Oryctolagus cuniculus: one gene and its partner. The protein of the gene in region 2 binds, or shares a complex with, the protein of the main gene of each other region. Links are inferred from orthologs where the notes say so. Each region holds a gene or a part of one and is shown on either strand. Other genes may lie near its edges. The genes, in order: STBD1 and GABARAPL1.

Region 1 (4,346 bases), on a different chromosome or scaffold from region 2:
TAACTCCCCCGTTCTCCACCAGCACAAACTTCCACTGCACCACCGTATCTGCCGGCAGGCAAACAGAATGAGACCAGAAGCCGTCCTTGTTACGGTGGAGTGGGATGTACGTGTTCCAGCTCCCAAGACGCTCGTGGTCTCCGGTTACTGCAATGAACGCCACGTCGGTGCCCGTCACATAATGGACCTGGAACCTGACGCTAACTTGCCGGGACTCTGCAGACTTGGCCGCTGCCCATCCTGGTTTCCCATCCACTTCTCGACCCCTTGCTTCCACAAGAAAGTTTCTGGCACCGTCCATTCCCTGTTTTAGGCTACCACCCAAGCCAGCATCCCCCCAGGAGGAGTGCCTAGACACCCCCTGGCTGTCCGGTTGTGCGAGGCCCACTTCTTGGGCCCTGTCCACCCGCGGCCTGCTAGAAGGCAGTTCCTCTCCGGCCCCAGCCAGTGCCTCTCGTCCTTTTTGGAGTCCCCATTCCCCTCTGGGAGACTCCAGACTTTCACTTCTGGACGCTTCAGAGGAACTTCTGGAGTGAGCGCTTGCAGAACTGGCCGGGGCTCCCGCATCTGCCACGTGCCCAGAAGGGCTGTGCTCTCTGGCATCTCTGCTAGGGTTCTGCAGTGGCCGGGCTGCTTCCTGCAGCTTCCCAAGGTCTTTGGTCTCAGAAATCAAGCGTCCATTGCTTTCTTGAGGATGCTCTAAGAAACAAAAAGAATGTAGCAGTGTTAGCTCATGGAGAAGAGACTGTCACTGCAGGCGTTACTCCTATCTGCAGTTCTCAGAATTCCTGCTTAATGAAATCCGGTACTTAATGCCCCTGTATAATCCCAACTCTAAGAATCCGCATGCATGCCCCACACTAAAATGCACCCACAGGAGTGTCAGTGCACCAGCCCTAAAGTGTAAATGAAGTGGCAAGCTGTAAAGACAGAAGTGTAACCCTGCCGTGGTCCTCAGTCTCCCACAGTACAGGCCATGATGGCATTCAGCCAAGTCCCAGTGCTTGGCTCCGATCATCAAAACGTGTCACGTAGAGACAGGTGTTCAAAGACACCCACCTCTCAGGTCTGAGCACCTGACTCCAGCTTCCTGCTGATGCAGAGCCTGGGAGGCAATGGTGATGGCTCAAGTGCTTGGGTCCTTGCCCCTCAGAGGGGAGACCGGAACAGGGCTCCCAGCTCCCAGCTTTGCCCACCCCACCTGCACCTCGTGGGCATATAGGGAGTGAGCCATAGTACAGGAGCTGTCTCTGCCAGTTTCCCTTTTTCAAATAAGATTTTAGAAGCTTCTTTGAAAAAAAAAAAAAAAGTCCAGCGGGGGCGGGGCAAAACGCTGCACAACACCCGGACACATTAGAATGTACGTGTCCTCCCAGGGGTAGCACGGGTCTGCTGTCACAGACGGCAGGGGCAGGGGTGGGGGATACGGTGCATCCTGGGGGACGGCATCAGGAACCCCAACACACCAGGGCCTTGTGTCCCCTCCACTGTACACGCTGTGGATGTTCTTAGGCCCCTTCAGACCCAGCTCTCCCCTAGACGGCCTCATTGGCAATCCAAAGAGCCCCCTGCAAGGTAGCAAATTCCAGAATCATACAGTCAGGGAGAGTAGTCTTGTTTTATTTCGTCCCTGTTCAATGGTGGGGCTAGTGGGGACACAAGAGCAAATGGTACTCAGAATTCCCAATTTTTCAACCTAAAACATGAGGCTGGCCTCTCTCCTCATCACAACCAGGGCTGAGAGGCGCAAGGGCCGGTCTCCACCAGGCGACACGGGAACGCACTCCTCTGGAAGGAAGCTCGCAGGTGTCACTTCACCATGAGGCTGCAGTCCCGGCCGGGCAGCTCGCCAGGGACGGCTCTGGAAAGCGAGGCTTTCCGCCAGCGCTCCCTCCTTGCCCAGCCTGCGGTCTTCTGAAATGCGGCCGTGTCACCCTAAATGTCAATTGACTGCACGGAGTCCCCCCCTTAAGGAGTGGCTTCCCAGGGGGTGAAGCCCCCTGCGCTGCTGAGCGAGCAGGGAGCGCGCCCATGCTTCTGAATTGGGCGCCTGCACGGCCAAAGTCCACCCTGAACTTTGCTGGCCCCAGAGAAGCGTCCAGAGAACAGGAGGCGCTCACAGCACGGGTGTTCCCAAACCCAGCCCTCCCGGGGGAAGCGGGATCGGAGCAAGCGAGGCTGCGGGGCTGGGACTGAGAAAACGTCCCTGCTCGGACAGAGGCTGGTGGGGCCCCCTAAGCTCCCACCGGCCTCTCTCGAGGCCAGGGAAGGGGCGCCGCGGCTGCAACCGCCCGCACTGCGCCAAGCGGGCCAGCTGGAGGGGCAGGAGCGCCGAGGCCGGCGGGGCGCGGCCCTGGGAGCTTCGGCCGGGGCGTCTCCAAGGCCTCCTTGGAGCGCTGGAACCTGGCGGGGCGCGGGAAGGGTCCAGCTCGTGGGTGGGGTCGGGCCGCCAGGAAAGCGCCAGGTGGGCTTCTTAAATGCCCTGCCCCACCCAGGCCAAGTTCAAAGCCCCCGCAGAGTTGCTCTCCAGGTCCGGGCGGGACGAATACCTGGTTTGGTGCCCAGCTTGGAGGGGCTCCGTCCGCCGCCGCCTCCCTGCCCTTCTCCGCGAGTCGCAGCCTCCCCGGCAGAGGCGTCTTTCTGCTCCGCGTCCTCGGGGCCGCCCCGCAGCAGCCACACGAAAAGCGCCCCGGCCAGACCTCCTCCGACCAGCAGGGCGGACCAGACAGCGCCCATGGCTGCGGGAGACGACGGGCGGCGGCCGGCCCCGGGCGCAGGTCTCGAAGGCAGGGCCACACCTACCCTGGCCGCCCCGGCCTTTTACGGCTCCTCGCCGGCCCTCCGGCGCCCAGCCCAGCCCTCGGCGACTCGCGCTCAACTTTCCGCGCCCCGCCCACTGCCCGCCCCACTCCGCCGCCGCCGCGGGTTCCGGCCCGGCGGGGACGCGAGCGCGCCGCCCCGCGTGTGCACGACGACCACGCGCAGCCGGGCCCTGCCACGGGCCGGCCCCCGCAGGTGGGCGCCGCCTCCCCCGTGCGTGGGAGGCCGGGAACCCCCGGGGGACCCCGCTACCTGCGCTGGGCCTCCCCGGCCTCCGCCTCGCCCCGCTGCCCGACTGGACCGGACCGGACGGGCCGTGGGCCGTTCGGGCTGCAAAAGCCAGTCCTCTCAGCCTCATTCAGGCCTGGCTTCCGCCTCGGCCTCTGTGTGGCCTGCGGGAGCTGCCATGGCTGTGCCCACGGGGCTGAGCTGGCTGTAGACCAGGTTCAAGCGCGAACCAACGAGATGAATGAAAAGAGCCACCCTTTGTGAGGGTTCGTGCGCATTCACGTTGTTCCTCGCACAGCCACAACGTGTTGATAAAGACACTCCTGGGGACCACAGGGAGGAAACGGAGAAACACGTGGGCGGTAGCCCTCCAGGAGCCCCGAAGGAGGACGAGGAGGGAGACGCACGCAGCATCATCCTCCGATGCTGCATCTACCCGACGTCCTGCCCGCCACCGGCCTGCCCAGCGCACGCCTCTAACTTCACTAATAAGGAGTCCATCTTAGGCCATTGCTGATTGGTTCTGCGCATGCGCCTCCCTTCCCTATGGTGCATGAGCGCCATGTTAGGCCACTGCTGATTGGTTCCTGGCCGAACCAATCACATTCAGGCTTCGATGACTCCCTGATTGGGTCACCTAGAATACCGCATTAGCATATAGCTCAACTAATCATGTGAACTTCCTCCTTCAGAACCTCGTTAAACAGGAACCAGGCCGGCCTGAGAGGGGACTGAGGGTACGGAGGCCTTCTGGGCGGTAGTTTGGGGCAGGTTGCCCCTTCTCGCCGGGCGGGGCCTGGAGCCGGAGACCTTCCTTTGCTTTCTTCAGTAAACATGCCTTGCTGGGCTCACTGCTTGCTTGTCCTTGTAGCTCATTCTTCATGGTCACGAGACACACAGCAACGCTCCCTGAGGAGTCAGGCAGAGAGGGGGCACCGAGACCGTGCGGCCTCGCGGTTGGTAGAGGGTCTGGCGAAGAAAGACCCTGCCGCGTTTCGTGGCGACGAGCCGAAGCGCCAGGCAACTAAAGGGGCAGCCTGCGCCTGCCGCGCTGCGAGCTGAGAAGTGTCCACATTTCCATCCGAACTCACTCCTGGCGTCCAGAAGGCATCGCCCCGACCTGGAACCGCAGATCCCCGGGTTCTGCTCTGCAGCCCTGCCTGCCATTGCGCCTGACCTCCCACATCCCGCCGCCGGAGCCTCACCTGGCAAAGCCGCGCCCCCGGGGGGGTGGTCGCTTTAAGGCCCCCGCTGGTGGGGCAAGTCATCCTCCTGGACCCCTGGGAGGGGGTCAGAGA
Region 2 (4,356 bases):
GGGAGGGAGGCTCACAGCTGGTTAAACCCTAACTGGTGGAGCCCTGGCATCCCAGGGGTGGTCTGAATGGCTTACTAGTTATCAGAAAGTAAGACATCCAACTCCAAACTGTAAGCACAGAAAGAACAAGAAGGATAAGCTGAAATATCCTGGGGGGCAGGGGGATGCACAGAAAGGGCTGAAAAGGGAAGCGCTGTTTTGAGAAAATACAGGAGAATGCTAACTAGGAGCAGGTGCATCTATATAAAGCTACCTGAACCTAGGCTCCCAGTCATTCTGCTTACTGCGTGCCCTGTCTGGCACCAGACTACCCTATGAATTCTTGAGGGTAGCAACAGTACATTTCCACTACTCAGCAGTGTGAGGTGCACAATGCCAGAACTGTATTAGAAATTAAACCAAACAGCACGGGAGGTTAAGGGCCAGAGTTGGAATCCAGGCTGTGCCATAGACTCGCAAGGTCAAGTCTTTAGGGAGTGACTTCATCTCTCTATGGTTCCAGTCTTCATCTATAGAGTGAGGATTGCAATGTGAGGATTAAGTGAATGACATTAGAGCCCTGAGAACGCGGCCTGCTGTGTGTAAGTCAGCAGTGAAAGCTAGCTGCCGTTTTTAAACCTCATTCCTCCAGAATCGCTAGATCTGGGAGAAACATTTACAACAAGCACCCTAGGTCCAGGAAGAGGCAGGTTCACACAGGGCGCTGGGTAACGATTAGCTCCCCTTTGTAGCCCAAAGCCACTGTGTACAAAATAGCTGAGGAATGGCAGGGCCAGAGAGTTTCCATTGCGGGGCTAGAGCCCAGATTGCTTCTGGCTGCAGTAAGAACATGAGAGTTACGGAAGAATTGGAGAATTCCCAAATAGTCCGTGTGAGTCAGGAGAGGCCACATCACATAATGGCAACTCTTGACATCTTATCCCACTTATCCTTATCCCACCGTCCCTGTCTGAAGATGGAAATAATCACAAACTCTGCGCCCCCATCTCCAAACACCCAAGGGCTGCAGCCCCTGGCCCGCGCACCCAAGTCATCCTGGGCTACGCAGCCTGCATTAGACAAGAGCCGGGCAAGTGGGCGGGGGAGGGGGCAACGGGAAAAACGCCCGGATGCTGAGAGATGGCTTCATGTTTCTTCCTCCTCGCTCCTGGCACCAGCTTTAGCGACGTGAGCCAGTGTCCAAATCCGAAAGAAAAAGTCCTCAGTCCCGCCTTATGGTGTCAGGCCCCATCGGATCACAATCAGCTCCAAGGGCAGGCCGGCCGCTCCCCGCCCCCCACGGGCCCCCGGGGCCGGGAACGCTGAGGCAGGCGGCTGTTGCGCAGAGAACGTGACCTTGCTTTCTGGGCCAGGCCCGTCTCGTGGCGTCCCCAGCCCTCCCCTCCCTAATTCTAAGAGAAATCAAGAAAGAACCTCCCAGGCCCAGAGCTCAGGAGGGCCAAAGCCAACTTGGGTAATTAAAGGCGAAGCATCCTCAGAGGCAAACCCCAAGGCATCAGTGGCTCCCATCACAATTCCGCTGCGTGCTTAACAGCGGCACGTCCACGGCCCGCATCCACACGCCCACACCGCGGGCAGACAAGCCCCACCGCGGGCCCACCTGCACCTGCACCTGCACCTGCACCTGCTCGAGCCCTCCATACTGCTGAGTCACCGCAGACAGGGGCTCTGCCGCCAGGAACCAGCGGCCTCCGCTAGGGCCGCGAGCCCCCCCCATCCCACCCCAGATCCGCAGGCCGAACGGCCCCGGGCGGGCGAGGCTCGCGGAGCCCCCTCTGCGCCGCAGGGCTGCCAGCCCGCCGCCCCGCACCCACGGGCCCCGACCCCCTCCATCCTCCCCGCCCCCACGACACTCACAGGGACCCTGTCCGGATACTTCTTCCGGATCTTTTCTCCTTCCTTTTTCCGATACTCAAAGGGATGGTCCTCCTTATACTGGAACTTCATGATGCACCGCAGGTTTTCCGAGACGCCCGGACGGGGCCTGCCTCCCTCGCGGACGATTGCGTCTCTCGCGCTTCGCTGCCCTCCGCCAACTTCTGGGGGTACCAGGATCGCTTCGGAAGCGTCCGCGCCCTCTGCCACGCCGCCTGGCCCAGCGCTCAGGACGGGCACCTCGGGGCCCCGGCCTGCAGGTGGGAAGCGGCCAGGTGAAGAGACCCGGGCGGCTGTGCCCAAGCGCAGGGAACACAAAAACACCCCAGCGGCGCGCAGGGGTTGTGACGTCACGAAGCCGCGCCCAGGCCCTCAGGCCCCGCCCCCGGCCCCGCCCCCGGCGCTCCGGACTCGGCGGAACCGAGGTGAACAGAAACCTTGTTTGTTTTTATTTATTTTGACCCTGCCTGATTTTTTTTTCCCGAGTGGAGCCCACTGCAAACCTGAAAGCGTTATACTTGGTATTCTACTGCGATTTGATATGAAAAACGGTTTTTAGTTAAGACAACGGGCTAAAGATGTCTCCATCCCCCTCCTTGGCGTCTCTTGGTTGGGACCCAAAACAAATACAAAGGGCTGCCCTCCAGCCTGGTCCCCCCTGCCTGGGACCGGGAGCCTGCGTGGGCCGGGGTCCCGCGCCTCCTGGGATGCCTTTTGCCCCTGCGGAAGGGGCGCGGAGTTGCGTTTTGCCCTCTGCGGGCTCCGCAGCCTTCCCGCTCCGCGTCGTCGGCGTCGTCCTGTTTTGGTCCCCGCCGCAGTCCGTCCTCAGAATGGCAGCGTCGGTCAGCAGGGCGTGACTCGGGCCCCAGTGCGGGGAGGTGGTGTTGGTGAGGGCTCCGAGGACTTCACGCTCGCGAACGGCTCGCTTTCCCCTGGGACCCCGGGAGCTGGGCCTCGTGGAGCCGTGGAGGCCCCTCACTCGGTGGAGCTCAGATGTTTGGGTTGTTGTTGTTTTTCTTTAATTCTGCAAAACCGCACGTGGAAAATAGATGCGCGGGGTACAATCGGCCCGGCGCGTGAACGGAAGGCACTGCCTCAGGTACCGGGTGCCATGAGGCATCTCTTGCCTCACGACCTCGGGACCCAAGACCTGCCCAGCCCTGCTCTGGCCGGGGATCCCTGGAGTCTGTAGGGAGAGGGCGGCAGAGATCGCAAAGAAGAGAGGGGAAGGGTTCCCTTGTGTTCCAGTCTGTGAGTTCTGAAAACTATTAGACAAGGGCTATCAGCGTCGCCTTCAAAAATCCCACAAAATGAAACTTTCATTATCGAAACAAGAAAACGAATTTCATAGTCCCGTTGGTCCCGTTGGTCTTGTTAATTCCTTTTTCCCATGGCATTTGTCAACTTTTTTTTAAAGATTTATTCAAAAAGCAAAGTGACAGAGGGAGAGAGAAAGAGCTTCTGCCTGCTGGTTCACTCCCAAATGGCCACACCAGCCCCGTCTGGGCCAAACCAAAGTCTGGAGCCAATAATTCCATCCAGGGGCCAGCGCTGTTGCGCAGCGGGTTAACACCCTGCCCCACAGTGCGCCAGCATCCCATATGGCCGCAGGTTTAAGACCCGGCTGTGGCACTTCCAATCCAGCTCTCTGCTAAGGCCTGGGAAAGTAGTAGAAGATGGTCCAAGTCCTTGGGCCCCTACACCCATGTGGGAGACCCGGAGGAAACTCCTGGCTCCTGGCTTGGGATCGGCACAGCTCCGGCCGTTGTAACCAATTAGGGAGTGAACCAGTGCATGGAAGACCTCTCTCACTCTCTGCTTCTCCGCTCTCTGATTCCATCCAGGTCTCCCTCTTGGATGACAGAGGCCCAAGAACTTGGGCAGGAAACGGGAAGGAAAGCAGAGCAGCCAGGACTCAAACCACTGCTCTGTTGGAGGGTGCCGGTATGGCAAGCTGCAGCTTAATAAGCCTCTGCCACAGTGGTAGCCTCTGTTCTTTTGTTAATATATGAAAATCCTCATATCATTTTATCACATTGTATATAATTTCCAGCCCTTATTTTCAAGTTGCAATTAGTTTAATTGCCACTCATTCATTTTAGCTTTGACTCAAACCTAGGTAAATCTTTTAGAGGACTGCTTTACATCCAGTTGAGAAAGGTAATTATGGTGGCAATTAAAATGCTAAGAGTGTTGTTGGGAACAATCGTAGCTAGTTGAAATGCTGATTTTAACCTTTATTTTAAAAATATCCAAGCACAAAGGCAACTTATACAATATGTAAAAACTAATTTGGAGATGAAATTTTGGTTAATCTTTCTGCCACAACTTTTCTAAAGGCCAATGCCTTATCTTAGAATACACAATCTGTCAGTTTCCAAAGTGTGTTCCTTACCTTTATTCTCAGCATGACATTTAAAATGTTATACGGAAGCTAATTTATAAATTAACACATTTAATAAAAACATTTCAGATTCCTCT

The links.
Region 1: the proteins of GABARAPL1 (region 2) and STBD1 are in contact, whole or in part, in a crystal structure (PDB 8X8A), measured with the Homo sapiens proteins. The link is inferred for Oryctolagus cuniculus from reciprocal best matches to the Homo sapiens genes GABARAPL1 and STBD1. Residues at the interface, in NP_113600.1 of Homo sapiens: Glu17, Ile21, Tyr25, Asp27, Arg28, Pro30, Val31, Ile32, Lys46, Lys48, Tyr49, Leu50, Val51, Pro52, Asp54, Leu55, Gly58, Gln59, Phe62, Leu63, Arg67, Phe104; in NP_003934.1 of Homo sapiens: Glu201, Glu202, Trp203, Glu204, Met205, Val206, Pro207, Arg208, His209, Ser210, Gly213.

What each region holds. Positions count from the first base shown.
Region 1 is NC_091439.1:89,583,341-89,587,686, forward strand, and holds the start of STBD1 (starch-binding domain-containing protein 1), read right to left. Parts: upstream 2,898-4,346; 5' UTR 2,737-2,897; coding exon 2,550-2,736; intron 700-2,549; coding exon 1-699. UniProt on the Homo sapiens protein: Acts as a cargo receptor for glycogen. Delivers its cargo to an autophagic pathway called glycophagy, resulting in the transport of glycogen to lysosomes.
Region 2 is NC_091440.1:106,915,095-106,919,450, reverse strand, and holds the start of GABARAPL1 (gamma-aminobutyric acid receptor-associated protein-like 1), read right to left. Parts: upstream 2,893-4,356; 5' UTR 1,948-2,892; coding exon 1,858-1,947; intron 1-1,857. UniProt on the Homo sapiens protein: Ubiquitin-like modifier that increases cell-surface expression of kappa-type opioid receptor through facilitating anterograde intracellular trafficking of the receptor. Involved in formation of autophagosomal vacuoles.